Linked DNA regions of Yarrowia lipolytica. The protein of the gene in region 2 binds, or shares a complex with, the protein of the main gene of each other region. Links are inferred from orthologs where the notes say so. Each region holds a gene or a part of one and is shown on either strand. Other genes may lie near its edges. The genes, in order: YALI1_E16023g, YALI1_E17760g, YALI1_B16584g and YALI1_D35907g.

Evidence for each region.
Region 1: the proteins of YALI1_E17760g (region 2) and YALI1_E16023g are in contact, whole or in part, in a crystal structure (PDB 5J9T), measured with the Saccharomyces cerevisiae proteins. The link is inferred for Yarrowia lipolytica from reciprocal best matches to the Saccharomyces cerevisiae genes YNG2 and EAF6. Residues at the interface, in NP_011958.1 of Saccharomyces cerevisiae: Ile11, Val14, Leu17, Pro18, Phe21, Arg22, Leu25, Ile28, Gly29, Asp32, Leu33, Ile36, Lys40; in NP_012615.3 of Saccharomyces cerevisiae: Ile69, Ile70, Gly72, Phe73, Asp74, Asp92, Ile94, Phe95, Leu97, Ser98, Ser99, Ala100, Thr101, Lys104.
Region 3: the proteins of YALI1_E17760g (region 2) and YALI1_B16584g are in contact, whole or in part, in a crystal structure (PDB 5J9Q), measured with the Saccharomyces cerevisiae proteins. The link is inferred for Yarrowia lipolytica from reciprocal best matches to the Saccharomyces cerevisiae genes YNG2 and EPL1. Residues at the interface, in NP_011958.1 of Saccharomyces cerevisiae: Asp2, Pro3, Ser4, Leu5, Val6, Leu7, Glu8, Thr10, Ile11, Val14, Asn16, Ser19, Glu20, Phe21, Tyr23, Leu24, Leu25, Glu26, Glu27, Ile28, Lys39, Tyr42, Glu46, His50, Ile53, Arg54, Gly57, Ser58, Ile59, Pro60; in NP_116629.1 of Saccharomyces cerevisiae: Thr144, Thr145, Ser146, Tyr147, Ile148, Lys149, Phe150, Ser151, Ala152, Asp156, Asp231, Leu234, Gln237, Leu238, Ile242, Phe249, Ile250, Thr251, Gln252, Phe253, Arg318, Arg321, Ile326, Asp327, Ile328, Asn330, Ser331, Arg333, Leu334, Arg335.
Region 4: YALI1_E17760g (region 2) and YALI1_D35907g share a complex: the UniProt entries of both Saccharomyces cerevisiae proteins name them as parts of the nuA4 histone acetyltransferase complex. The link is inferred for Yarrowia lipolytica from reciprocal best matches to the Saccharomyces cerevisiae genes YNG2 and EAF1.

Annotation. Positions count from the first base shown.
Region 1 is NC_090774.1:1,599,659-1,605,520, forward strand, and holds YALI1_E16023g (uncharacterized protein), read right to left. Parts: upstream 2,656-5,862; coding exon 2,248-2,655; downstream 1-2,247. Other genes in the region: YALI1_E16002g (uncharacterized protein), read left to right, coding at 536-1,831; YALI1_E16026g (uncharacterized protein), read left to right, coding at 2,955-5,186; YALI1_E16068g (uncharacterized protein), read right to left, coding at 5,531-5,862. UniProt on the Saccharomyces cerevisiae protein: Component of the NuA4 histone acetyltransferase complex which is involved in transcriptional activation of selected genes principally by acetylation of nucleosomal histone H4 and H2A. The NuA4 complex is also involved in DNA repair.
Region 2 is NC_090774.1:1,772,283-1,778,890, reverse strand, and holds YALI1_E17760g (uncharacterized protein), read right to left. Parts: upstream 2,843-6,608; coding exon 1,907-2,842; downstream 1-1,906. Other genes in the region: YALI1_E17786g (uncharacterized protein), read right to left, coding at 1-97, 273-308; YALI1_E17773g (uncharacterized protein), read right to left, coding at 1,093-1,596; YALI1_E17754g (uncharacterized protein), read left to right, coding at 3,474-4,997. UniProt on the Saccharomyces cerevisiae protein: Component of the NuA4 histone acetyltransferase complex which is involved in transcriptional activation of selected genes principally by acetylation of nucleosomal histone H4 and H2A. The NuA4 complex is also involved in DNA repair.
Region 3 is NC_090771.1:1,654,600-1,662,818, reverse strand, and holds YALI1_B16584g (uncharacterized protein), read right to left. Parts: upstream 4,405-8,219; coding exon 1,885-4,404; downstream 1-1,884. Other genes in the region: YALI1_B16578g (uncharacterized protein), read left to right, coding at 4,462-4,557, 4,626-4,887, 4,934-5,334; YALI1_B16572g (uncharacterized protein), read left to right, coding at 5,452-5,494, 5,547-5,881; YALI1_B16566g (uncharacterized protein), read left to right, coding at 5,974-6,095, 6,142-6,331; YALI1_B16544g (elongation factor 1 gamma domain-containing protein), read left to right, coding at 7,895-7,924, 8,051-8,219.
Region 4 is NC_090773.1:3,585,847-3,594,713, forward strand, and holds YALI1_D35907g (uncharacterized protein), read right to left. Parts: upstream 4,756-8,867; coding exon 1,708-4,755; downstream 1-1,707. Other genes in the region: YALI1_D35852g (uncharacterized protein), read left to right, coding at 1-67; YALI1_D35870g (uncharacterized protein), read left to right, coding at 1,108-1,668; YALI1_D35911g (uncharacterized protein), read left to right, coding at 5,183-7,018; YALI1_D35945g (uncharacterized protein), read right to left, coding at 7,308-8,558. UniProt on the Saccharomyces cerevisiae protein: Component of the NuA4 histone acetyltransferase complex which is involved in transcriptional activation of selected genes principally by acetylation of nucleosomal histone H4 and H2A. The NuA4 complex is also involved in DNA repair.

The DNA.
Region 1 (5,862 bases), about 170 kb from region 2:
CAGTAGTCCCACACCCTTGGAAGTGCTACGCGGCTAACAATGCCTACTCGGAAAATAAGCTTCGACTTATCTCATCTCAGACCGTCAAGAGAGGTGTTCAAAAGCCGCTTCGCAGTAATCAGTTTGCTCGTAAATGGATAAAATCAATCAATATGCCACTTATACTTCAGAGATATTCTTTCCCAACCTTGGCGGCAACCACAGCCACTGCTACAGCCTTCTCAAGCGGTCCGCTTCCCTCTTCGATGTCAAACTATAAACTCCATATTGACTCACTTCTAGCGAGTTGCGAAATACCGCTCTAGCAAGTGCAATTTTCATTTTTTGTCAAAAACCAACAATGAAATCAATTCCAAATGCCCCTTTAACCCCCCTGAACCACTCTCTACTCCCCACTTCCGCTTAACCACCCCAAATCAACCTCCCAAATACCCATTGACTCATTGGCTAATGCACCGTCCAACCTTCGCACGACGCATAAATACTGTAGACCGCTCCACAACCATCACCACCCACTATTCACCCGTCCGTTGCGATGCAAGTGCGACATTTCTCCTCGTGTCGAATCGTCCAGGCCGGCAAAGAGCGGTTTGTGCCCTCCTCGGGAACCTACCCCAAGGGGTTCAAGGTCGGCGGCTTTTTCACCGGCGTGAAGAAAAATGCCTTCAACATGGATCTGGCCATGCTGTCGTCCGATAAGCCCTGCAACGCCGCGGCCGTGTTCACCACCAACGTGTTCAAGGCCGCTCCTGTGCAGGTGGACCGAAAGATCCTCGACGTAACCCAGGGTAAGGGAATCAAGACCGTGGTGGTCAACTCAGGATGCGCCAACGCCGTGACTGGAGAGGGAGGTATCCATGATGCCCAGCAGATGGTCAAGAAAGCCGACCAGGTCTTTGGATCCGAGAGCGACCTACCTGCCTCGCTTGTCATGTCCACTGGAGTCATTGGACAGCGATTGAAGATTGACAAGATTCTCAAGGGAATCGAAGAGCACGCCCCTGCCATGAAGGACGACCATGAGGCCTGGCTCAACACCGCCAAGGGAATCTGTACCACCGATACTTTTCCCAAGCTCATGTCTCAGCAGTTCAAGATTGGAGATAATACTTACACTATTGCTGGTCTGACCAAGGGAGCCGGTATGATTCACCCTCGAATGGCCACTCTTTTGGGTTTCTTTGCTACTGACGCTCCCGTGTCTGCCTCTGCTCTCGGAGTTGCTCTCAAGCATGCCGCTGACCGATCTTTCAATGCTATCTCTGTCGACGGAGACACTTCCACTAACGATACCATTGTCTGTCTGGCCAACGGAGCCGCTGGAGGTCCCGAAATCACCGAGACCTCTGCCTCCTTTCCTGTTTTCCAGGACATCCTCACTGACTTCTCTTCTCGACTCTCCCAGCTCGTTGTCAGGGACGGAGAGGGAGCCACCAAGTTTGTCAAGATTTCTGTGAACGACGCTGTTTCCGAGCAGGAGGCTGCCAAGGTGGCCGAGACTGTGGCTTGCTCTCCTCTCGTCAAGACTGCCCTCTACGGCAAGGACGCCAACTGGGGCCGAATCCTGTGTGCCGTTGGATACTCTGGAATGCAGGTCGAGCCCACCAAGACCACTGTTTCTTTCATGCCCACCGACGGCTCTTCCGAGCTCAAGCTGCTGGTCAATGGTGAGCCCGAGCAGGTCGACGAGGCCCGAGCCTCCGAGATTCTCGACATGGAGGACCTGGAGATCCAGATCAACCTCGGCACCGGAGGGGGCAAGAACGCCAACTTCTGGACCTGTGATTTTTCCCACGAGTACGTCACCATTAACGGAGACTACCGAACCTAGAGAGGACTAGAAGCATCCAACAATCATATACATATAAAAACCACTACGATCATAAGCATATGGCCTAGTGTAGTGCAATACACACTCTCAAACGTCTATAGAAGAGCCTGGTTGTGGTCTCTCAGGTGATTCACTTAACTGTCGATGGCCCTCAAGTCTGGCAACCCTCGCCACCATCGTGAGAGACTCCGTTACACTCTACCGACCCTCTATATACTCTACTAGTTCTGTACCTGTTGGGTGCTCGTCCTCACTCCACGTAAATGCAACAGTGTTTTTTGTACAATAATAAATAAATGGTTATACTGAGCGTGACGTCCGCCACCTCAGCCTTTGGTCTCTCTTATAGAGCTCCAAGGGGCCACCCTGCTCGTCCTTCTGCAACAGGTCCAGAATTCGTTTCGCTTGTTCCCGAACTAGTCCACCCTCGACCGCTTACTAGGCTTCTCATCGCCAGACATGGGCGTCGAATCCCCCTTTCTTCTCTTTTGAGAAGCGGTCTTTTTCCTTTCATTCTTGGTTTCGTCCAAGTCACCCCCCGCACCTGTTTTGGCCTGGTGTTTGAGAAAGACCGCCGAGGACAGCGAAAACAGCCGGTCGTCTTCGTTGAACACGTAGCGCTTTTTCGATTGCGCGCCCTTGATGTATGTGTCGAAGCCCTTGACGAGGTTTCCATGGGACGTTTCCTCGAGATATGCGCCTTCCAGGGTGAATATCTGTTCCTCCAGCGAGTTGAGGTTTTTGTCATGTGTTTTTTTCTTGTTGATGTTGTCCTTGAGCTGCTTCTTCAGCTTCTCGTACTGGTTCATTTTCTGGTCGCTCATTGTGGTCGAATACTGAGAGGTTTTCAATATTGGTGGTGATAATTATAATTATCACGATACCCGATTGGAATGGTGCACCACATGTAGTATTTGTTTATTAGAAATTGGTCATTGATTTAGTTAAAAATGTCAAGTAACTCTAATGGCTCAGCAATGCTGACGTTTTCGCCTTTGTACATTTCGGGCTGGCACGAAACGCTAATATTGGGATATCACCACCACACGTCTAGCACGTCTACACCTCCAAACCGCACTACTTGGACCGCCGTACACGCCACACTACACACCGTACGTACACCATGTCGTTCCGGCAACAGTTCCAGCAGGGAGGCAATCCCAATGGACAGATGGGCTTCAACAACATGAACATGAGCCCAAACATGAACAACGCGAAAATCGGAGGCATGGATATGGGAGCGCAGATGGGCCAGATGGGCCAGATGGGCCAGATGCCACAGATGGCTCAGATGGGCCAAATGGGCCAGATGGGAGGCATGCCGCAAATGGGCGGACCCATGGGTGGCCAGATGAACGGCATGAACATGGGTGGCATGTCCGGAGCAGGTGGCATGCCCAATGTCGGAGGGATGCCCAACATGGCAGGAATGCCCAACATGGGTCAGGGTATGAACATGGGCCAAGGAATGAACCCCCAAGTTGGTCGAGGTGGACCCATGGGACCTCAGGGTATGATGGGCCAGCAGGGCATGGGCGGCATGCAGCAGGGTGGCCAGGTGCAGATGGGTGGAGGACCACAGATGCAACCCCCTCAGCGTCAGCCACAGCCACAGCAGCAGCAGCAGCAGCAGCAACAGCAGCAGCAGCATCACCACCAACAACAGCAGCAGCAGGTGCCTATGCCGCAATCGCAGCTCATCCCTCAGCAAGGAGGCATCCCCGTCATGGCTGGAGGTCAACCCCAAAAGAACTTTGATTTCCCCCCACCAGGCCAGACCATGATGCAGCCCGGCCTCACTGTCCCTCCCGTGCAGTCACATCTGGGTCTTGTGAGTTCCGATGACGCCCGACAACAGGAGACACCTCTCGTGAACCCTCCCTCGGCTGCCGAGTCGCTCGCCGAGATGCCCACGCTGTTCAACGGCCAGGGAATTACTGATCTCACAGAGATTATGAAAAACAAACGTGACCCCAAGACCGCCCAAGAACTCAACCTGCGTCGTTTTGTATCCAAGGATCTCAACGAGTCCTCCACGCTGCCCAAAAAGCTCAAGCAGGAGGCCGACAAGCTCAACGCCAAGCGATATGAGATCTCTTTCTACCACTCGTTTGGTCCCATTCGTTCGCAGGAGCCCCAGTCCATTTTTCAAGACGGATACCTCGGCTATGGCAATGGTTGGACAGGTCTCAACACACGGTTCGTGTACCCCCGTGACCGAAAGAAACACAACCGAAACACCCGGGACCTGGTGCTGTCGCGTCAGCAGATGAATCAGCAGGCGGCAGAACCGGAACTGCTGGTGCCCATTCGTCTTGACTTCGATCTCGGACGACTTCGACTTAGAGACACCTTCATGTGGAACCTTAACGAGAAGACATATCCCGTGCACTTTTTCGTGGAGAACATGTTCGAGGACTTCCACTTCCCCCACCAGTACATTCAGTCGGTCACAAACTCCATCACTGAACAGCTGCAGGATTTCCAGCCGCATCAGTACCCCCAGGACCCTCGACACGTGATTGGCAACGGAGATGCGACCCGAAACGAAGACATGCGAGTTGTGGTGCGCCTGGATATCACAGTTGGTCAGCACAATCTAATTGACCAGTTTGAGTGGGACATCAACGATTCTCTCAACTCCCCAGAAGAGTTTGCTGCCACCATGTGTGCCGAGCTGTCTCTGTCTGGAGAGTTTGCTACTGCTATTGCCCATGCCATCCATGAGCAGACACAGGTCTTTTCAAAGTCGCTGTTGCTTCTTGGCCACACCTTTGATCAGCGACCTGTGGACGACGAGGACATTCGACGTGAGATTTGCGCTCCCATACCCGATGGATCCGTCATGAGACCCAAGAACTCGGTCAACGAGTACTCTCCTGCGCTGTTTGAGATTTCTGAGGCCGAGCTGAGTCGCCTGGATAAGGACAAGGACCGAGACTCTCGTCAGAAACGTCGACAGGGACGAGCCGGCAGACGAGGCGCACCTTCTCTGCCCGATTTCAAGAAGGTTGTCCGAACGTTCCGAACTCCCGTTTACTCCGCTGTGCTTCCTGGAGCTGTCGACCGAAAGGTGGAGTTGGCTAAACAGGCACTTCAGGCAGAGGAGGAGGAAGAGGAAGAGGACAGTGATGGAAACGTTGTGGTGCGGCCTGCCAAGCGACAGCGAACCACCGGTAGACATGTTCCAGTGCGAGCTGCTGCTGCTAATGCCGCTGTGGCTGTGGCTGCACAGAGCCAGGAGCTGGAAACCAACTATGTGGAGGAGCTGGCGGATCCTACTTCATTCTGGGTCACTCTGAAGGTGCCCCCACAGCAGCTTGCGCGGCTGATGATGATTCCTCGGTTTGGATAAGGGAGGGTAGAGGGAGTAGCTACCCGCAAAAGAGATTAGCTACAGCTAACTGTATATTAATAGATGTATGAGACAAAGCAGAAGTCTTTGGCTAGTCATGCGCCAGCCAAAGGCTTGTGCTGATGGATAATGAAGGATATGTATCATATATAAGTATTTGATGGTAATTGAGGGTGCAGGTACAAGTAGTTACGAGAGATGATGATTCACGTGGTATCCAAGTACATCATGAAAACGAATGTGTACTTGTGCATAGTTCCTGGGCCACTGACACTGCTATAGGTATCTACATGTTGGACGGTGTTACATTCAATCATAGTCATAACTTTTATTCATATTTACACTTACAAGGTAAAGTCCTTGAGAAGCTTCTGGACCTCACCAACAGAAGAGGTCTTGTTGGCAATCTTCTCCTTGAGAATCTGGGCCAGATCCTCAATCTTGACATCAGTTCCTCGGTCAGATTCCTCACCCAGACCCAGCTCCTTGATCTTGACCAGACCCTGGGGATACTCGTCCTGGCCCAGAATGACGGCAAAGGGACATCCGGCCTTCTCGGCGGCGGTGAACTGCTGGGGGTACTTGGGCTTGGTTTTGTACATGTACTCGGCCTCGATTCCGGCCTCCCACAGCTTGTGGGTGACGGCCATTCGCTCGGCGAGGAATCCCGTGTACT
Region 2 (6,608 bases):
CCAGCACGGTGGCGTGGGCGTCCTCCATGGTTACTCGCCAGCCCTGCATAGAGGACAGGCCGTAGACGAGATCGGAGTCTCCTCCTTTTTCAGAGTACTGCGTTAGTTGTTGTTTAGGGGAGATGTCGCCTCATTCAATGTTCGCCGTCGCTTGTTCCCGTGTCAGTCATCGCGTTGGGTGCTCAACGTTGCTACCCAGGAAAACGGGCATCAACACACTCAAGTAGTGCAATTGGACATGGTCGGGCGGGGTCCAAACAGCTGATACTCACTTTATCCGTCACAGGCGTAGACAAAATCTGTCCCATTATGTGATTCTGGAAGTTGTATTACCGTGTTTTGATGGGGGATGAAAATGTGTGTTTGTTGATACCAGAGAGATAAATCAATGTGAGTATCAAAAAATCAAAACCAGAAAGTGGCGCAAAAAATAGGGGTGTCGAAAAGAAGCTGAGGGGGGCAAAAAGGCAAGGATGTCTTTTTCTCTGTCGAAGGTTCTTTTTTTTTTCTCTGTATCGTACTGATTTGCGAGGCGAGCCAGATGATGTTGACACTTGTTTCTGTTGTAGAGTCTTCTGTGGTGTGGTGTGTGGTAACTGTCGTGTCAGCAGGCTTTGCATTTAGCCTTCGCCTCTATTCCCTTTTCCAGGTTTCCAGAAACCCAATTGGCGACTCAAGTGACCGTCGTCGGTGCTAGCCCCAACCGCAGAACAGCAGTCGACGAGCTGCCTGGCGGCGGAATCCGCCTCTACTACTCACCAATGCCCGATTTCCACCTCTGATCTTGCCTAGGACCCCGCCGGGTTTGCGCCACACCATGCATCCGCGGTGTAATGAGGGGTATTAGTTAACCTTGTCACGTGAGCCGGTTTCCCCTGCTACTGTTTTTTTTTTTTTTGAAGTATTTTACAGCACAAGTAGGGCCTTCAACAGGGAGATCCTCCTCACTGGTCTTGTTTTTATTTCTGTTTTCTGTCGACCAACCAATAGACACGAACAAACAAACAAACGGCGGAAAAAGCAAAGTCACCTAATACGGCACACGCCGACAATTCTGCTTATCGCACTCACCTCGTGGACCACACAAGCATGCTATGGCATCACGTGCTCTGATGGGGTTCTTTTTCTTTGTGTTGTTCGCCTATATTTTGTGAGACCCTTCCCGATCTCGGCTCGGAGATAATCGGATATATCCGGAACGCTGTGAAACGCGAGGTACCAAAAAGAACGCGAACCACCAGTAGACCTGTCTCTAAAGGAGGTTTTGTTTTCGACACCAAATTTAACCCTCACAAGACACCCCGCCAGTACGATGACGCGCGCGCCTCTTCGTATTCCTCGTATAGCCGCTCCACACTGTTTATGTCCCTCCACCCTGTGACTTCCTCTTGTGGAGTCACCTCGCATCTTGTACGCATTTCCAGGGCAGTCTTTCCTCTTCGGACATGCCGAGAGCCGAACACCACTGTTAAGCGATCGTCGAAGACGTCCATGATAACACTTGGACGAGGCGGGTGACGATGTCTTGAGAATCGAAACCACAGCGAGATAAAAGTATTTTGGCGAGGAAAAGAGCTGATACAGTTGCCGCTCCATAGAGACAAATAAATAATATATTACTACAAGTTTGGGAAGGATCTCATCGTAAGGGCGCTGTTGGGGCTCATACAAAAACGATCAACATGTCCTTCCCTTTATGATTATACTAAACAAGCCCCGGAAACAGTGCTCAATCGCAGCGTTCATGACGCCTGGAATACAGCCTGCGACGCACGCGATTTTTGGGGGCACGTGATTTGGGGGCACGTGACATGGAAATTGCGCCCTGCGGCTCGGCTTCAGGAAGATCAGTAGAAGGCGTTGAAGAACAGTGGGAAGCTGGTTTCAAACTCCAGAATTGTATCTGTTAACGCTTCTTCTTATCACCCTTTCGTCCCTTGGAGCATGAAGGACAGAACCAGACTCCCTGGGGAGGCTCTGCCAGACCCACACAGTCGTAATGGAACCATTCGTACTGACAGTCATCGTTATCACAAGCAACCATTTCTCCGAATGACGGCTGCTGACAGAAACAGTAGAGCACCTCGTCATCTTCCCCAGGTCCGGCTCGAATAGCAGCATCCAGAGATCCCACCGCCACCGTCTCAGGCATGTTTCGGAGCTGCTCAGAGGCACCCACAGACGACTCCTTGCTCATAGATGCAGCCTCGTTATTCTTGTCAGTCGCTCGCTTCTTTGGCGGTCGTGTTCCAGGAGTAGAAGACCGACTGGCCGCTGGAGAACCGCCTCTTCGACTGTTGGCTCTGTCTCTTGTGTAGTTTCGGGATGGGGGTTCCGGTGCAGGAGTGGCTGATGACGTGGCACGCGATCTGTTGGCTGAAATAGGTTTCTGTGGTGGCGCGCCACCCAACAGACCCTCGGCATCCAGCTTGTCGATGTCGTCATTCAGTTTCTTGACGTGTTTTGCCACTAGGGTCAGCGCCTGTGCTGCCAGAGTGCATTTCTCGTCCTGAAGCTCCATGGCGGTCTGGAAGTCCTGGCGTATTTTGGGGTATGCCGCCTGCTCCTTTGGGTTTTCTGCCAGGGAGCCATTTGCTCTGATGAATTTGTGAATCTGGTTGTCGCGTTGTTGGATGCGCTTGCGGGTCTCATAGAACTTGAGATCCTTGTCTCGGACCTCTTCGAGGATGTGTGCGACCTCGGACGGCAGGTTCGCCAGGTCCTGGACGTATTGGTCGAGTACCGACGCTGCGTCCATTGTTGGGTGGGTGATGGCAGAGTAGTGGATGGGTTGATTAAAGTGGTGTAAATAAATGTTTGGTGTGACACAACCAGAGTGCATATTTTATGCAGCTGTCCCAACTAGAAAACCAAGAGTTTTAGTTGGACTTTTTGTCTTTTTAGAGGAGAAAATGACATCTACAAGATACAAAGGAGAAGAGCTGATGTGGCAAGGTCGAACGAGAGGTGAATACAGCCCAATAACGATTACATGACCACAATGAACAACCACTGGGTAACCCAAGGGTTTTTTTTCGGGCAACAGTACATACTGTTACCAGACTACCCAATAGTAGTTCATAACACACTTGTACTGACGATACTACTAGTATTGCAAATTCCCCAATACAATGCTACATCAACACAATTTCAGTACACCCAGTGACCACGCTTGCATAACCCCACATCTGCAATGAAAAGACAGAGCAGTAGACATCATGGAGAATCTCACCAACAGCTCACACACACAACAAAGTCCCCCCCACGGAGCCCCCACTAGCGCCACTAACGCCTCTACCTTAGCTCTCCACTAACAGTGTATAGCCGCAGTCCCCTTACCAGTAGCTTAGTGATTCATACCATAACCCTATTTGAAATTTGTGTGTATGAAACTTTCCTCGACATAGAGTCATCCGGTACCAGTAAAACGTGCGTTGTAACACCGACAGCTCAACGGCTTCACTTACTCCACAATGATCCAACTCAGACCCACTCTAGAGGCTCTTCAGACCATCGTGGCCGACAACCGAGCCGCCGCCACCAAGGAGACTCTTCCCGACAACCTCTATCCCGTTTTCGCCTATGTGGATGCTGAGGCCCTGACTCCTCATACTGCCTACCTCAAGTTGGCTCGTCTGGATGACCCCAACCGAAGTCCCTCGTTCCTGTTCGAGTCTGCCCTCGGTGGTAAGCATCTGTCCCGTTACTCTTTCATTGGATCTAATCCCCGGAAGATGATCAAGACTGGTGCTCCCCATGGACCTGACGTTGATCCGCTCAACCTGCTGGAGTCTGAACTCGACCAGTACCGACAGTTCCAGACCCCCGGCGTCCCCACTCTTTGTGGAGGAGCCATCGGATACATTTCGTACGACTGCATCAAGTACTTCGAGCCCCGAACCAAGCGAGATCTCAAGGACGTCCTGGAGGTCCCCGAAAGTGCCCTCATGCTCTACGACACCATTGTGGCCTTTGACCACGTCTACCAGCGACTCCAGGTTATCACCAATGTCAAGGTTGAGGCCGACACCGATCTCACCAAGGCCTACGAGGACGCCAAGAAGGAGGTGCAGCGAATCGCAGACCTGCTGACTTCCCCTGAGGTTCCCCAGCCCCCCCAGGGACCCGTGACCCTTGGAAAGACTTTCACTTCCAACATTGGCCAGAAGGGTTACGAACAGCACGTGACCACTCTTAAGGAGCGAATCAAGAAGGGAGACATCATCCAGGCCGTGCCCTCCCAGCGAGTAGCTCGGCCCACCGACCTGCATCCCTTCAACGTCTACAGACACCTGCGAACCGTCAACCCCTCTCCCTACCTGTTCTACATTGACTATCTTGATTTCCAGCTTGTTGGTGCTTCTCCTGAGCTGCTCGTCAAGATTGAGAACGGCCGAATTGTGTCTCATCCCATTGCTGGAACGGTTAAGCGGGGAGCTACTCCTGCCGAGGATAACCAGCTGGCTCAGGAGCTTCTCAACTCTGAGAAGGACCGAGCTGAGCACGTCATGCTGGTCGATTTGGCCCGAAACGATGTCAACCGAGTATGTGATCCTCGATCCACTTCCGTCGATCGGCTTTTGGGTGTCGAAACCTTCTCGCACGTCCAGCATCTCGTTTCCCAGGTGTCTGGTGTTCTGCGACCCGACCAGACCCGATTCGACGCCTTCCGATCCATTTTCCCTGCCGGAACCGTTTCTGGTGCCCCCAAGGTCAAGGCCATGGAGCTGGTTGGAGAGCTTGAGAAGGAGAAGCGAGGTGTCTACGCCGGTGCCGTTGGATCTTTCGGCTACAACGGAGAGGCCATGGACACTTGCATTGCTCTTCGAACTATGCTTCTCAAGGACGGTGTTGCGTACCTGCAGGCCGGAGGAGGCATTGTCTTCGATTCTGACGAGTACGACGAATATGTCGAGACTATCAACAAGATGATGGCAAACAACCGGTGTATTGTCGAGGCCGAGGAGATCTGGGCTGGACAGCAGAAGGGTGAGTAGAGGCGATGAAGATGCACTTCATTGCACTGCGCACACAGACACAGCCACAGACAGAGACATGCAAAGCCCAGCACCGCCAGACTCTTGTACTTGACCTAGTCAAATCCGTTTCACACTGTGAGACCCTCACCTTGAGTGAGAGGAGTCCCGTCGAACGACGATATGTAGATAATGAAGAAGGTTGTATACCTGTACAATACTGTGATTTTGTGTGTGAATTGTAGACAGAGAGAGAGCTTTGTGCATAGGAATTGGACTATAATGATATATGGCCAAGGCGACAAGTACGGATTCGGATACTTGGCTTTCCTACAGTACCCGCAACTAAGTGTTACAGTAATCCCGCCGCATGTCTGTCACAGAAGGCTGTTGTCTTGCAGGGGATTTGGCGTGAAGCATGATGTCACAACGCTCCGACGTAGACCCACCCGTTTGTGTTCCCCACTCCCGTACCGTTGACCCCACCCGTTTCTTTGTCTTTTTTAATTTGTCTTGCTTGTTCTTGTAGCCCGATGGAACTTTGGTGCATAGATCGTCGTCCTTGCATCGGAACTAGGTGGGCTGAGCAGAGGTGGGGTACGATAAGCTGGCGGGAATAGGAAGCAGGAAGTTGGGGGCCTCCGAGATCCGGTACCAAAGTATCTCTAGCCCAACTGTAAACGCTCCGCCACTGCGCGGGATAGTTTGCTTTGCTCCGGACCCCACCGTCTCAGGGTTCAATAACTGCAGATCAGGCACACTCCACGTGGGCCACTCTTGTCGATCATATTGAGTAATTAGATAGTAGAGAGCACTTCAGGGTGGGTGGTGGAGGAGATTAGATCCAAAAGCCCCGCAAAGTCGTGTATGGTATTGGACAATTGGATATCAACTCATGCGTCAGATAGGACCGTGGAGGTGGATTTTTCTTGGTTTCATAATTTTCAGGCCTTCCGAGACAGCCATATTGTGAGCGACTAATTGGTTTCGTAATTAAGAGCTCGTGTGACCCTGTTAATTACTAATAAACCTCTCAGGTGTCACCAGTGACAATACTCAGCCTTCTCATTATTTCTTAAATTATTCTTGCCAAGAAATAAGCGAACCCCCCAGTGCAGGGCCAACTGCATCCTCAACTGCAACTGACTGTCACTGAAGTAGGTACCAGGCCACCGTAGGTGCCAATCGGTGTGGTTTCCGGATCAGGTGAGGTTTACCGTATATCCAGTTGCACTTTCTTCATTACTGTACCGTTAGGCTTGCTTCCGCTTTTCGCTTACTGGTAGCGTACCTGTTAATTACTCGCCAGACCCGCCAGATCGACGTTCAATTGTGGCATTGAGATAGAGTGCACTGGACATACTGTACGAGAGTGTACATGTGCACAGTAGTCGTTCTGTCAACAAATGACTGAGTGAGTCACGTGATCGGCAGATCCTCCAACCATCTAAAATATACGGCCATCTCCAGAATCTCCGCGCAAATACCTGCTGCCGTTTGCGGTACACCACATTCCTCCATGTCTTATATTGCCCTGTTCAATACCTCTCTAACGTGTGAGTTTTAATTTTGGCATTCTTGGGAAGGCTATTTTTGGGGACAAGCGAAAGAAGAAAATCGAGACAAGAAAGC
Region 3 (8,219 bases), on a different chromosome or scaffold from region 2:
ATCTCATCTGACGAAGCGTTCCCCGGCTACCTGTCGGATGATCCCTGTGCGTCTGATCTCTTCAAGTGATTTACAAGGGTAACTACATTCCATGGAAAGAAGGACTAGCACTGGTGCACCACTCGTGCAGCAGGGCCAAGAGACGTTTGGCTTTACTCTACTTAACCAGCAATTAGAGTCAAGGTAACGGAAGAAAAAGAAGAAAAAGAAGGCACGCAAGACACATTCCAGACCCAGCGGCCAAGACAGATCGTCAGGTTGCCAGTCGGAGGAAAAGACTACCCGTCCTTTCTATTGCGAGACGCGCACTGGTACCTGGGCAATGTAGCAACCAACTGGACAACCAAAAGCAGCCATTGTTTGAAGCACAAATAAGACAGCTGATGAATATTTCCGTAGGTGCCGGGTACTTGTTCTTACAACTGTACCGTAGAAGTGCGATGGCATCAACTGTCATTAGAAACCAAGTGATCATCTGTAGATAGCTGACACCAAGCCCCCTTCCCTCCTTCAATGAGAGTTTTAATTACGAGTTACTTTCCTCGCACTCCGATCTGCCGATGTACCGTAGCTACTTGTACGAATACGTACTTGTACCTACTCGAATACCGGCTCTCATGCTCATGCTCATACCCACATAAGTAGGCCTGAGACATGATTTCTTTTTGCAGCATAGATCGTTGCTTTTGACCGGGCTCACCTGCCGGGCACGGTCGGGCTCGCTGAAACGGTGTACACATACTGTAGACAGCGTAGGCGGTGGCATATATCGTCAGTCTCGTATTTCCCTCTTTCGGAAATTTCATACTAAACCCTGTGATACGACAGCTGTCAGACACATTGACCTTGACGGAACGACAGAAAAAAACATGTGATTTATTTCTACATGCAAAAGCTACAGAAAGTAAGGCCAGACTAAGTAAATCTCCGCTGGAGAGCACAAGCACCTGTCGAAGAAAGAAGACGCTCTGTGAGCAAATCTGTAGTGAACCTTTCTTGAGCTTGTTTCCCCTACTCGCTGCTCTCGAAAGCTCATTTGAGAAAGACGTTGCACAATACCATGACTGATACATGATAGACACGGTAGACTGTTGAGCTGATGAGCAGATGCACTAACGGCGACAAAGACAAGCAGAGGGGCCTACTGGCACCAAACTCGGGTATGTAGACATACAATAGCTTAGTATCGTCCCGTAGCGTGCGTCAAACAGCGCTATTTTGTGAACAAGGTGAAGTCAATGGAGCGGTCTAAAACAGTCCGGCACGATACATACAGTGATGATGTACGAATGTAGTTGTATTAGCGAGATCTAATCACATCGAGCCATTACGCAATAGCTAGTATAAGTACTTAGCTACAGGTAGAACACCTTACATTAGACTACGAGTACAAGTACTTGTACGACCACTCTACCCTTGCCAAAATAGCCCCAAATCAAGGCAGGGTGGAATCTGAAACAAGCATCTTGGCTCATAATTAGCGGTCTCTATAGTTCAATACATAAAACGAATCGCCAAATCAAGTCGGCTCAGATATGCGTTTTTCGATATCTCTTCAATCAAATTCAAACCAGAGTGAGTGACATCAACACAAAGCTTGCCCTGCACGTCTGTCATATTGCAGTCACAGTGCAGATTGATAACAAAGTTGACAGATTACAAATGTCGTCGTTATCAGCAGCTGCCACAATACAATAAAACCCCCCCCTAACTTCAAACACAATGCTCCCCGGTCGAAATACAAGTACAATGAAACCAAATCTCCAGGACATGTGCATACAGTGATACAGCACATGCTCGCCTCACCAGTAAATCCACTACAATATCAAATAAGAATACACCATGGGTGCTCATAAATCATCATTACTATATACAGTCTTCTCTTTACGCATCCACCTTTGCCAACTCAGATTTCTGCTTCATGTCTCCTCCAGGCATCATCCGCTGACTCATGCCATTCGGAAGAACCCCATTGGCCATGGCCCCTCCGTTGGGCAGTCCGTTGAATCGTTGACCATCAGGACTGCCACTAGATCGCCGAGGTTGAGCGGCCATCGCTGCAGCCGCGGAAGCTGCATTCATAGGAGCGACTCCCATTTTACGCTGTTGTTGCTGCTGTTGCTGCTGCTGTTGTTGTTGCTGCATCTGTTGATATTGTTGATGTTGGCTGGGCGTCATACCTTGCTTGTTGTAGCCCATGGGAGCGGCATTGTGCATCTTGGACTGAGGGCCATTAGTACCGGGAGCAGGACTGTTGTTGCGACTGCCGCCAGCTCCTCCTCCGGCTCCTTGACCACCTCCTAGACCGGCCCCTGGGTCGCCCGGGGGGTGAGATTGTTGCCGGTTTCGCATCTGTTGCTGTTGCTGCTGCTGAAGAATCTGCTGCTGTAGCATCATCAACTGCTGCTGGCGCTGCTGGAACACCTCGCGGTAGTTCTCGTAGGCCTTGGACAGCAGCATGGAGCCAAACCGAATTGACTGTGTGTCCGACGAAATGCCATTCAGCTGAGACGGGTCCTTGTCGTAGCTGGACATTTGCCGCGTCGGCTCTGTCTCTCGATCGTACTTTTGCCGGTCTGCCAGTCGCTCCATGGCAACCTCGTCTGCCTCACTCTCGGCAGTGTCGTCCAGGGAGTTTTTGGCCAGACTGCTGGGCTTGAGCACAGTGTTGCGCTGCAGGCCTCGCCGGTCCATCCACATCCGTCCTCCTCGACCAACACGCTTTCGCATGGACATAAAAGAAGACCGGGGAATAACACGGTCCACAGGTGACGAAGTAGATGTTGCATCTGATAATCGCAACTCCCCATCATCTCCCACAATAGCACCATACACCTGAGCATCTGCAAAGGGCTTGTTGCCAACCATACTGGCGAGATCCTTGTTGAAGTCGCTCTTGGTGGTGTACCGGTGGCTGGCGTTGTGCTTCTCAAAGTAAGCCATCTCATTGATAGACGAGTACTGAGGCACAGGAGGCTCACCAGAAGAAGATACCTCAGCGTTCAAGTACTCGCAGTAAGGAATGTAGCCCGAGTTTGTGAGATTGTGCCAGTCGCGGTCTGCATCTGCTCGAAGTCGTAGCTTCTCGCGCACCGCCTTTGCAATCGCCTCGTCCTTGTCTCGCACAACTTGGGCAATAGTGATGAGGTCCATGTTGGGGATCTTGGACGGTGGAATGGACACATTTGGTGGCACATGTGTGGAAGACACGGAAGGCGAACCCGAGCCTGCAGCAGCAGCCTGTGCAGCAGCGGCCTGGGCAGAAGCAGCAGAGCCAGCGGCCTTGCCTCCTCGAACAGGAGTAGATGCCTTCTCCGCTTTTTCCTCCTTCTTGGGCTCCACCTTTCGCTTCTTTTGAGCCACCAGATCCTCATCCTCACCTTTGATGCCCAACTCTCGCTTGAGAGTCTTGATGGCGCATCTGTCCTCGAACACATCCCATTCAGCCTTGAGAGCAGCCTTGCGAGTAAATTCTCGCGTGGCAACCATCTCCACCAGCTGCTTGGCGGTTTCCATCTCTGCCTGCATGCGCCGTAGTCGCTCGATGCTCAACACGTCCGTACGACGAGTCTTTCGCACCTGCCGCAACTCTCGGCGTCGGAAACACACATATGGGTCACTGTCGTCCTTCTCATGATCCTCAAATTTTAGGTGGGGCACAATGGACTGGCCTTTGCGTTCCACCTTGCGTGCTCGCCAGTGTGGATAGATGACAGCGCCGATCTTCTTGAACGTTGCCAGAAACGCCTTACCCTCATTCTTACCCTTAGTACCATTCACAGTGATGCCTAGAGAAGACTGCAACTGCGCCAAAATGTATTCCGGCGACGTTGGGTCCTCCTGAACCTGCCGAATACCATCTTCAATGTGCTGGGCCATCTCCTCAAACGACAGAAGGTTCGACACGTCGATGGACACAAACGGTTGTTTTTCGCTGATGGTCACCTCGAATCTGTGCATCACCTCCTCGAAGTCGTCTTCCGATATTGGCGGCTTGCACGTCTTGAGAAACTCTGCATCTTCATCATCCATGTTGTAGAGACATCCGGAGGTCTCTTCGACCGTCACACTCGTCCGGATGTAACTGGCGGGCTCATGAAACGACGAAGAGTAGAACCGGTCATACTCCTTCCACACCTGCGACGCATCTGGGGTGGGAATGTAGATTTTCTCCACCTTTGCGCCGGTGCTCTGGGCTATCGATGAGTTGATGGCCGCCTGCAGATGGTGCTCCTCCTCCTCGCCCTTCTCCACTCCCGTCTCAATCTGTTGCAGCTCGCGCTGCTGCTCCTCCTCAAGGTCTGGGATGTCAGACTGCTTGAGTACCGCCAGCGTCTGCTTGACGCTGATTTTCCGCTGGCGGAAGCGTGCCGACGAACCGGCCGCCTTGGCTGCCTTGGCCATTCTTGGTGGAGTCGTATGGGAACGCTTTAAGCGTGGTTGCTGTGTGTGTTGTTGGTGATGTCTTTTTTTAGTGTCGCCCTGTTAATCCTCCCCTGTAAAAAAATGCGCGTGTCACGGTGTCTGCGAAGTTTTAAAAATAAAAGAGCAGGGAAAGTAGGCCGAAAATGGGGGCAAAAAGAGCGCTGAAAAGAGGTCTGGTCAGGGCCGGTGTCTTACAGTAGTGTCTGCTCTTGCTTGCTGTCGTTTTTTCGTCCGCTCCACTCCTCCTCCTCGCAGTCTCGTCGATAATTTCTGGTGATAATCCGCCTAGAAAAATTTGCACATTTCGTCGCCGCTCCTTATTGGCCCGTTGTTGCCACTGGGACAACTCTTACCCCGCAATAGGAAATCTAGGGCTAGGGTATATGATTGTTGGGACTTGTTACGTCAGAACCTGCCCGAGTCTAAGCACAGGAGAGCTGGTCGTAAAGCCAAAAAGAGGGGGTTAATTTGCCACCGAAGGGGGTTACGTGTCGCAATCGAACGTCAGTCAGCTGGTTCGTAACAAGGCTGTTGGCGCAAATAAAATCAAATAGTTCGCCGCGGGTGAGATTTCAATGCTCAGTGGGTCGTTGTCTGTGCAAGTCGTCTTTCTCAGATGTCGGTAACGATGTTGTTGTGTGGTGCCCACTTGGTGTCGTTGCCGTCGTCGGTGTTGTGTTGTGTTATGTCGTGCACAGTGTGCCGTGTGTCTCGTGTGTGTGTGTGTGTGTAATGTTGATTGACAGCAGCCTCCACAAAGAGTTGCAAGGGGGGTGTGGTGTGTTTGGTTTCCCGACCCAGAATAGGCTTTTACTTCCTCCCAACGAACAAACTCTAACGAAACTCCCAGCACACACCAAAATCCCAGATATTATCTGGCAGTTTGGCATCCCATACTCATACTCGTAGTCCCCTCGTCAAACCCAAAGCCCTAACCCGGCGCTCCCAATTCGGCCAGCGTTCTGAGGATGGGTGGAAATAGCGCCAGTGTGGTGGGTTGATCAGGTGGAAGTCAAGAGGTCGGAAATGGGCCAGTCGGGCACAGGACCTCAGGAGTGCGTCGTACTGAGTGTCTCGGGGCCACTGTGGAGTCGAAGAGGTGCTCGTGACCGAAACGTGAGTCCCTCAGCGCCACACTGACCGGGTGCCCATACCGGGACCCCCAGACAGTACCCCAAGGAGACGCCAGCGGTGCGAATTGGCACAAAGCCAAGTCCACCGGATTGTGGGGACTCTGCCATGTCAAAGCAAGCAGGAATTCCATCACTTTTGCGGTACTTTTTCTCGCTCCGATTTGGCCACCTTTGTAGGTAAAATTGCCAGGTTCCAGTTACATCAGAGAATGGTGGAGAGGGGACGAAAACACACGGGGGTTGTAGACTCACTTTGGGCAGCACACACTGAGCGGTGTGGCCGTTTTTATCGCTGGTTAGTTATCTTTTGGTGGACATTCTGATGTGTGGTGTGTGGGGTAGAAGAGTGAGAAGAGAAGTGAAAGTAAAAGTGCATTGAGAGTGCACGGTGCAAGAGCCAGTCAGTCGGGACCTGATGACACTAAGTCTTATGGGTAGGAAAATGGGGCAAAAAGGACTCCTGAATTTTTTTGATGCCGTGAAAAGCGCAGTAAGAGTCAAGCTGTGCCATTCGCTCACCGTCTTTTTTTATTTTCAGTCATCTCAACTACAGGTACCACCGTTTCAGGAAGGGAGCTCTCAGTTGGGTTAATTTCAGCCCTGCGAAAGGCTCCATAAGGCTGAAGAAGAGCCGCAAATACCTCACGAGCAACCAAACTGAGACCACAATCTTGTACACGCAAAAATACTCACTGTTGTCTCGCTCCGGAGGGCTGAAGAACCCATGTTTGGAGCCTGGGTTGGTTATAGCATGCGGCTGTTCGAGGGTGTAAAAACAGAGGCTGGGGTTTCAGATGTAGAAAAGCCGTAGGGATGCTCTCAAAGATGGCACCGAGCGTGTGGTTAGTTGGCAGTCAGAGATGAAAAATGCTGGGTGTGTGAGTTGTGACAGCTGCCTTCTGTGGTGAGTCTGGATACAGGTCTTGTACGATGGGACTGTAACCCGGCTTGGTTTCCGCTCCTTCTGATTTGGCTTTGAATGCAACTTAATATTGTAACATTATCAGGTGGACAGGAAGCGTTAGTTACAGCAGGATTGTAGGCACTTTTGTTGGGTGGGAGTGAGCAGTTCCAACGGTAGAGCGTATGTATAGTATCGTATAGAAGAGTAGACAACTGAAGCATCGAGAAGTGTTGATAGGGATGAGACATACGGGATGGAGACACACTCGGTAATGACGAAAAACAAACGAGACAGAGCCATTCACACACGACTAGCTCGAAATCAGTCCCCATGTGGAAATAAGCCTCATGACATGGTCCCAAACCAGGCTACTCGTGACTGTGTTTCCAGAGAAACCATACGACAGGACCATTGGTCCAGTCGTCAGCACATGTGGGAGCGTAGAGGAATCTTAGAGGGGAGCTTGGAGGGACAATTAGGATGCATCTCGTATATGGCGTAATCTGGTTAATATGCAAAAATGTTGATCTCAGTTCTTCCTCCCAGATCAACCTCCTCTTTTACAGTATAACCAAAAATAATAAAAGCCCGTTGAGCAGATGCGGATGTCCTTGTTATGTGATGATGGTAAGCACTTGCAGTATGTCGAATCCAGTATGTACGGTATCATACAAAGCATGGTCGGGTAACATAGTACAATAGTACATACTCGTACTCGTACTGTACTCGTACAGGTATGTGCTGTACCCGCTATCTAATGTATGCTGCGAACGGTCAGTGTTAATGGCGGGATCATCGCTGTAAGTACAGTACGCTTTGTGACAAATTGAACTGTATGACCGGAAAAAATTGGGCCAACTTTGAATCGAAAATATGCACAGAAAAATTGGGCCTGGATAACTGGACATTTCATGCTATGGGGTATGGTATAACCCACCCTACAATAAATTAGACCAATAGTGGCGAATAATTCAATTCGACCACGACCTCAACATTGAGCTACAATAGCTTTATTGGCCCTATTGAGCACGCTACAATTCGGTCCAGTATGTACAACGTCTATGCGCACTAACGGCCATACAGTGAGTTACAGCACACCCAAAAGTAACCCTGCCTGACCTGTCTGCCTGAGACAGGAAGATTAACTCTTGTAGTGACCGAGCTCGATAAGACTCAAGCCACACAATTTTTTTATAGCCTTGCTTCAAGAGTCGCCAAAATGACATTACACAACTCCACGGACCGTCGGTTCCATGTCCACACCCTTGGATGGGTAAGCGCTCCACGCACGTACCACGTGCATTGAGTTTAACCACAAACATAGGTCTGTGTCCCAGAGTTACCCTGCTGCATCAGCCAAGTCTTGAAAGCAAAATTTCTTGCACAATTTTTCCTCTTCTTTTCTTCACTGATCGCAGTCCAAACACAAACAATGTCTATCGCCAAGATCTACGACCTCCAGGTGAGTCAATTGTCTCCTTGATTGAGTATATTCCTTTGGTTTCTCCTCAGATCAAGCACACAAACCGCACAGATCACGGATCTTGTTTCTGTTGCATGCCGTCCTCATGCCACCTACTAACGACAGACCCCCCGATACACTTCTATCAAGGCCCTCATCAAGCACTTCAAGCTCGATGTTGAGGTTGTCCCCAAGGACGCCGAGTTCGAGAAGCTCTTCCCTCTCAAGAAGGTCCCTGCCCTCCTGACCGCCAACGGCACTCCCATCCACGAGTTCGTTGCCGTCTCCTACTGGC
Region 4 (8,867 bases), on a different chromosome or scaffold from region 2:
CAACGGCGCTGCCACCCTTGGTGTCTCTGCTGTTGCCGGTGCTGTTGCCGTCGCCATGCTTTTCTAAGCATGTCTTGTTTTCTTATATAATGATCATAATTAATTAATACCCCTAATGAAGTGACAATATGTGGAATCAGGAAGGGATGTCGTGTGGATATTGTGTTGTGTCGGTGTGATTGTGTAATTGAGTTTGATGTTGGAAGTGTGTGGTGTGAACTTTATCGGTTACACCACTCGCAATTAGACTTCCACTAAGCGCACACACAGCGCTAAGCGAGAATGTCATGGAATGGGTGGCGAGGACCTCATCGTTATATGAGCTGATTATTTTATAATAATATAATATATATATAGTTCTTACCTATTATGGAACAGTGGCCCATTAACACGCCCAAGGGTCATTTTCAACTTGCATCATTTTACTTCAGTTGTACTTGTGCTAGCACCTTGGTAGACTCAATTAAGAGGCTTGAATCGGAGTGTGATAGCCATTAAATCACAGGCACTCCATGGTCTATTTTCGGAACGTGCCTGATCTAATGACCTCGTATGCACTCAAGCCTCGCAAAAGTATTGCCGAACAAAAACCACTGGCTCTCCCATCTTTTTACGGGGCTCTCGGCATATGCGACAATACCACTCAGTTGCACCACGCGCGCCAACGTCATCGGATGCGTGGCCATGCAAGGCAGCAGAGGTTAAAATGTGAATGTACGACAAAAGTAAATCTCGCAGAAGGACGCTAATTGACACAGGCACGCCTCCATCTTTCGAGGGCTTCATCTTACGTGTACAGACGTCTCCAGACAATCCCAATTCAGCGCTCGAGCTAGGATTTATCGCGCAGAAGGATAACAACGTGTCTTACACTGAAAATGCCTCCTCTGCATACCGCATACAGATAGCAATCATAGACAAGGCCTGTAAGCATGAAAATGCATTGATAGCTTAATATCACGTTGTTTCAGAATCATCAAGTGATCTGTAAATCATTCGGAGCATGGAGACCGGAGATAGGGATGAGGCAGCATAGGTATATATAGCGTGCCCATCTTCGTAACTTCACTCCACACACACACATACACCAACACAAACACACACACAATGTCTGCTGACCACGTCGATAACACCATCAAGAAGGACGCCTCCAAGGCTGGCGATGACTTCAAGAAGGGCTCTGAGAGCCTCGGAGATGACGTCAAGAAGGGCTGGGATGAGCTCAAGGAAGGCGCCTCGGACGCCCAGAAGAATCTCGGCAAGGAGAACGAGAAGATTCACGACACCTTCTCCGGCGATTTTGACAAGAAAGCCCACCAAGAGGGCGAGAAGCTCAAGGATGCTAACGAAAAGTGGACCCACGGAGTCCACGACAAGGCCGAAGACTTCAACAAGGACGTCAAGAACGAGTTCAACAAGGTTGAGAAGAACACCGAGCACGAGAACGAGAAGATCCGAGACACCTTTGACAGCAAGGGACAGCCCCACGGCACCTGGGACAACTTCAAGGAGGGTGCCTCCCATGCCCAATCTGATCTTGATTCTGCCAACAAGCGATTCACATCTGCCGTCGACGAGTCAAGCGAACATTTCGGCAAGGCCGTCAACAGTGCTTGGGACTCTCTCAAGAGTGGAGTCAATGGGCTGATTGGCGGAGAGAAGAAGTAACCAGTGCGCGGGTTTGAACATATATTATAGACAATGGAGTTACGGAATGAGGATATGGTTACGAGATAGTAGCAGAGAGAAAGCTACTTTTACATGACGAAGTGTTGTAAAAGTACAGTAGCTACAAGTACTGTAGAGTTCAATAATATTATCTGTATACATAAATAATCGGACGGCCATCTTACTCGGATGGACCTTGTCCTTGGTTTTGTCCCTGGGTCTGTCCCTGGTTCTGCTGTGCTGCTGCTGCTGCTGCTGCTGCTGCTGGTTCATTCGCATAAGCATGGCGTGCTGCTGGGCGGGGCTCTGACCTGGTGAAGCAGACCGTTGCTGCTGTTGCTGTTGGAGCTGTACGTTCATCAGTTGTGGCGATTGCATGTTCATGGGAGTCGAAGAACCCGAACGCATCTGAGGAGAGGGTTGTCCCTGGGGCTGTCCAGGACGCATCTGTCCCTGAGGAGGAGTCTGTCCCTGAGCCTGACGAGCTACTCGCTGCTGCTTCTGGACAAACCGCTGCACCTGCACATGCGCCAGCTTGGTGGCGGCCTCCAGAGACAAAGCAGGGTTTTGGTTCTGCAACTGGCGAATTAGAGCATTCAGATGCTCGTTGGGGGCAGCTGCCTGGGGACCTCCGGGTCGCATTCGCATGTTGGGACGCATCATCTGGGCCTGATTTCCAGCTTGGCCAGGAGGAACCTGTCCCTGTTGAGCAGGCATCTGGCCCTGAGGTATCTGGCCGGCCGGTCTCTGAGCCATACCAGCCTGACCGGCAGCCACCTGAGCGCCCTGGACGTTCTGGTTCACCTGTCCCTGCACCTGGCCTGGCTGAGGAGGCACCTGCCCCTGGGTTCGCATAAACTGCTGCTGCTGCTGTTGTTGCAGCATCTTCTGCTGCTCCATGAGCTGCCGCTGTCGATCAAACTGCATCATCTGGTGCTGGTCGTTCATCTGGCCAGGCATTCTGTTCATGCCCACACCAGCCATACGCTGCTGCATATGTCCAGAGGCGGCAGCAGCAGCTCGAGCCTGTGCCTGCGTGTGTGCCTGAATTTGAGCCGCGGTCTGAGGAGGAGGAGGTCGTTGACCGGGGAACTGACGGTTAGCAGGAATGTTAGAAGGTACCGGGGGCATCTGACCAGGCATCTGACCAGGCATCATCCGCTGCTGAGCGTAAGCCTTTGCGAGATTCTTATCCTGCTCAAACTTCATCTTGCACAGATCCAGAGGCGAAGCAATATCTTTCTTGTTGGACTCGGATAGCTGCGACTTTCGAGGCGGCTGAGGGTTAGGTCGGGGGGTAGTTTCTCGTTTTCGCATGCTCTTTCGAATACCGTCAAACATGGAAGCCCATCGCAGCTTCCGGTGACCTCTCTGGATAGACTCATTCGACACACCAAGAGGCGAGATGCGACGCTTGGACTGAGCCTGGGCTTTGGCAGCAGCGGCCATCCATTGCTGGGCAGCCTGAGCGTAGGGACCACGCAAATCCGTCAGAGAAAACGTCGGATTGAGCTGGAACCAACGCTCGAAGCACTGCCATGACGTACGTCTCTCAATGTTAGCTGTGAAGCCGTAAGTTTTTTGGGGCAGCATGTGGGCAGACACAATGTCCCAGTTGTAGGAATACTCCTTGACCAGTCGAAGAAGCTGTGAATCATCAGCCAATAACCACATTGTTGGCGTTCGGAAGTCGAGGTACTTGGTCTGTGGAGGCTGCGGCGCCTTAATGACGACATGTCGGCGCATGGTCTCCGAATTGAACAGTGTAGAACGAGTGTTAGATCGTAGAGGGAGAGTGTCCTCATCGGCAGGAGAGTCTTCAAGACATACCGACCACCAATCATCTTGCTCCGGGGGAGCCGCTAGAAGATGCGTGACAGGTGCGAGTTTTGAGTTGTCCAGAGGATCGCTGTAGGGAACCTGTAGAGCATTAACGGCAGAACCAGGAGGTGTAGTGACAGGGAGGTTGTCAAAGAGAGCCTTGGATAGAGGGTCCAGCTTGTCCACTGAGGCGTACAGCTTGAACGGAGAGCTCTCAGGAAGTTTAGGAGCAGCAGGTCGCTTGGGCACCTCCCCACCGACGACCTCTTCACTGTCTGTAGAAGGCTCTTCCGGCTTGTCTTCAGACTCCTCAGTCGATGACAGTGTCCTGGGTTGTGAGAGGAGAGTATCGTAGTCAACAACAGTGACAGAATCCGCTGCTGAGATGTTTGTCACCTCAACAGGGTTGATACTTGGTGGTGGCATGCTTGTATCAATGTCCATCTTGCTCTCTGTATCTTCAGACTCGTTAATTTCCTCTGGTAGGAACTTGATAGGCTTCGTCTTCACACAACAAGCTTCCTTACCGTACTTGTGGTACTCCAGCACGGAAAAGGCAATTTCACAAGCCATCGCCTGCTTGAATTTTCTCTCCTCCCGGAAATCCGTAGACATCCACTCCATTTCATCTAACACATGGTCCCAGTGTGTTTTCCGTCGGATAGGGTCCTGGAACCGCTTTGGCTGCCTGGGGCCCCATTTCCCTGCCCGCTTCAGCTCCTCTATACGAGCATGTGCTACTGCAAGCTTGCCCTCCAGCAACGCCAGATGGTAGGAGTCTGTGGTAAGTGTTTTGTGCGCCGACGGAATAAGCTTGGACAGTGGTAGGGTCTGTGTGGTGTAGTATAGCTCAGCGAGCGACTTAGTTTCTGTGGTGGGTTCGGGGATGTTGCTGGGCACCAGAAACAGCAGCATTTCCTGCAGTTGCTGCTCGTTTGTTTTGAGTGATGTGCGTGAGAATGTAGGTGACAGTTGCGCAATACTAGACGTACGTCGTCGCTTCAACTCTGGAGAAGAGCCTGCATCAGGTGTCGAGGTTTGAAGGGTCGGCACTGGCTTGGGCTCTTCGACCGCCTTTGGTAATTTGTTTTCGTCGAAAAGTCGGTTTTGTGTCAGGTCGAACTGGTCCTGGAACTGCTTCAGTTTCTGTTTGGCATCCAGACCTTGGGGGTACCGAGGGTGCAAGGAGACGTAGTATAGCTCTTCAAGCCGACGTTTACGCGTCGACACAATGTCTCCGCACGTCTCTTGCCGCGGGTCCATCATGCTGGTTGACGCTGAGAGAGTGAATACGCGGGAGTTATGGTGATGTAATTCACGTGATGGGCGAAAAAATGTACACGTTGTTCTCAGTTCGATTTTTAGGATTGTCTATTTTAGCAAAGCAATGGTAAATTGCTGAAACTGGAAGTTATAGCCAGACATGGCACTTACGTTCACAATAATAAGGCATATTTTTTATTTAGACGATCATTAATCACATATCTGACAAGTTGCTCACCCATCCTTCTTCAAGCTGCTGCTTATTAATGGACGTCGTCTGACAGCCCCAATGCACATCAATCTCGTCCACCAGTTTAAGATTCAAATAATTTACAACGGCTGGTCTGGATAGACTGAATTTGTGGATGGAATATCGCCTGTGGCAAAGAGAAGCAAGCCTATAATTTGACAGCCGTTATCTCGCAACATTATGGACGAGTTGTCAAGGGAGGCAGATGCGATTCTAGATGATGACAGTGTCCTGGAGGAGGACAAGATCGAGCTTTTGGAAGAGCTCGTGGTGAAACATCATGGAGAAATGTCTTCTAGCGAACGGGAGAGCATGGTGCTGGATCTCATGTGGAAACATCGTGAGAAGGAGGGCTCGGTCACACGTCACCGCAATGGTCATGGAGATGTGCGGATTGTGGGTGTCGACAAGTCCAAGAGCATCGACTGGGTCAAAATCCCAGAGGTGCTTCCAGAAATCGACTGGTCCAAAGTTGTGGACGACTACAAGAAGCGAGGCAAGGCCGTTCCCTTACGGGATAAGCTGCCTGAGGACGAGGAGGAGGTCTACTGGGAAGATTATGTGCCTGACAGTGAAGGTCATGTGGGGCATGGAGAGACCGATCTGGCACCTTTTGATCTTCTTAGAGCCGTGCTTGGAGGCAATTACTCCGATGAACTGATCCAGAACACACTGGAGAAGCACAACTACGACATCAATGTGGTTATTGTGGTGCTACAAAAGTACGACGACCGTTCAGGTTCTGAGCATGTGGAGGAAGAGGAGCAGGCCGCTCAGGTTTACGAGATGGAACATCATCAGGAAGTACACGATTACAGCGGCTACAACAACTACGAGGACCCCAGCATGTACGAGGAAGAGTACGATGAGGACGAGAAAGAGGTCTATGCGGCACTGGCTCTGTTGCCAGGAAGAGAGGAGAAGGTTCTCTGTAAGTACTTTGTGCAGTTTGGAGAGTGTTTGCGGGCAGATTGCAGATATTCCCATGATCTGACATCACGTGTGTGTCGATTTTGGGTCCGTGGCGCGTGCTTGAATGGCGAGACTTGTGCCTTCCTGCATTCCTTTCCAGAGACCGAGTCTACTCCAGAGCCCACAAAGCCTCTGGAGAACTTCTCCAAGCCCATGCTTGACTCCTTGGAAGATTTCCCCACTCTGGGAGGAGCAAGTGGAACAGCTAGTGACACAAAGTCCAAAAAAAGGGAGAAGCCAGGTAGCAAATGGGCAGCTGTGGCCAGTTCTAATGACACACAAACTGTTGCTGAGAAGCCCAAGAAGAGGTTTGATTTCAGCAAGGTGAAGCCTACTGAATCTTTTGTGCCTGGTACTGCTGGTGTCCCTTCTTTTGTGCCTAAGGCATTCACTCCTACAGCACCTAGTTTCACTCCTACCGCACCTAGTTTCACACCTGCCAAAATTTCGCCTGCCAAAGGACCGGCAGCTCGCATGGCTGTGCAAAAACACAACCCTCTGACTCTTCTTCGACCAGAATTCACTCCCTGGGTCGAGAACCCTCACCAGCTGGACGAACCTATTCAGGAGTACCTGCAGCTTCGAAAGGAGAGCAGAAAGCATATTGAGATGCGAAACAAGTATCTCAACCTTTCTGCCGATAACTGGCATATGAACCGACCTGATGCTGCCAAGATATACTCTAACAAGGGTCAGAAGCACCAGCAGGAACTCATTGCAGCCAGTAGAAAGGCCTCTGACATTCTCTACAATTACCGAGATGACCTTGGAGAGATCTTCTGTGACCTTCATGGGCTTGAGCTTGATACCAGTGTCATGCATCTGGAGAACATTCTTCTGGGAGTCGAGGAGCAGTACAGAAAGAATAAAAAGCTGGTGTATGCGATCTCTGGTGTGGGTTACCATGTTGTTTCCAAAACAGACATGTTGACCAAGGAGGTGAAGGCCTGGCTGGACGAGTGGGGCTATGAATACAAGGTTTTTTTCATTGGCAACGAGAAATTCGGAACCGTCATTGCCATCGATCCTTGGTCCCATATCTAAATCAAATAACAAAAAAAAATCAAAAAAGAAGAAAAATAGTACACGTAGTTCTAAGCACGAATTATTCTACTAATGTGGCGCTTGTACAAGTATAAGTACTGTACAAGTAAGTAGCCACTGTACACATACCGTTACTGTGTGTGTGCGCATACAATACCTACTGCAGACGGCGGTAATTGTATACAGTACACACAGACACACCCTTGAATTACGTGAACAAGCTCATATAGCCGCCTCTCTTACACGCAATCGCGTAAAAAAATGATACATTCATATATTTAATTATCTCTTAAGAGTCCTCCTCGAATCTAATGCCCTTTCGTCTTCGCACCTTCTCCTCGGTCTCGGTGGTGATGATCTCCACATCTCCAGCAGCGTCAGTCACACCATCCTCCTCGACAGTGACCACCACATCAGTGGGCTTGGTGACGGTGATGAGCTCAGCAGTTCGCACCCATCGTCGTCGTCGGGTGTACTTGCTAAAAGAGTCGTCTGCAGTAGGTCGCTTCCATGTGTTGTCATAGTAGATCCATCCCTCGGAGGGAGAAGGATCGGGCGTGCTCAAAGCCTTGTTGCCAATAATGACCAGGGCGCCATCGTTGGTACAGTCCAATCGCCAAGTAGGATCGACCCACTGCCACTTCATGCCGGTGCCCTCTGTATCGGGCAGCTTGAACTCAGAAGGAGGAGTAACCTCGTTGAGGAACTCGTCGGTCCAAGGAGTTCGCTCGTAGGCCAGAAGGTTGGCGGTCCAGCCAATACCGAGCCATCGTCGTTGGTTCTCATACAGTACGTAGGTGAACCGCACGGGCTTTCCGTCCTTGGACTGCACCGACAGGGGCGATTGGGTGAATCCAAAGGCGCCCAGGTTTCGCTTTGTGTTGGAAAAGTCGAGTCCAGTGAGGTAGAAGGTGACCAGTCTAATGGCCTTGGACTTCCAGATGACTGCTCGTGTGACTCGGGCAGCCATGGAATGGTAGGTGAGGAAGAAGACGCCGGTAGTGAGCAGGAACTTTCGGGGTCCAAGGAAAAAGTAGGCACCAAACATATACAGAGGCGATAGGAAGAGCGTGGTGAATGCCAATCGGGTCACATCTCTGGGGGTCAGGCTCAGAGAGGTGATTGGAAGCAGCAGAAGATTTGCCTTGGTGGTGACATTGGTCAGCGTGTGCACAATTGCATCCAGAGAGGGCTCCGATGTTTGCCGTCTCTCCACACTTTGTCGAATGTACACAAAGGCCCAGATGAAGCCCACGGCAAGAATGTGACCACAGTAGATGACCAAGTATTCGTAGTACATGACCACGGTCACGTAGACGGCCACCAACAGAAAGCTCTGCCATTGATCATCCTCAGTCCATGTCAGCAGACCCAGCACCTTGTCGCTGGCCAGAATGTATGGGTATGCTTGAGCTAGTGCCTTGGTGACTGTTGGGGGAGTGGAAGACAGCAGGGGACTCATTGATTGAGGCTGCGAGGCCGTTGAGGGAGGGAAGGCCGCGTGCGTCGCACTGCTCTTTTTCTTCTCCTTATCCGACATTTTTGCTGTTTGCCGCTGTGATTGTAATGTGCTCACAGGCGTAGTGTGCTTGGTCGAATGGGGTTTGGGTGGTGATGTTGCTATGAGCACGCTTGCATGATGCTCACAAACTTTCACACTGTGGGGTACAATACGCACTACAGTACTGTAGGATGGGATGACCACCACGAGATGGCAATTAAACTGTTGGTACACAAGTTAGACACCCCACTACCCTATAGCACTTTTTAGATCAAGACCCCTTTTTGTTGAATTTCAAGACTGTCTGTGGCGTCTGGGACCGTTGTACACCTCGGGCGACCTCGGCTA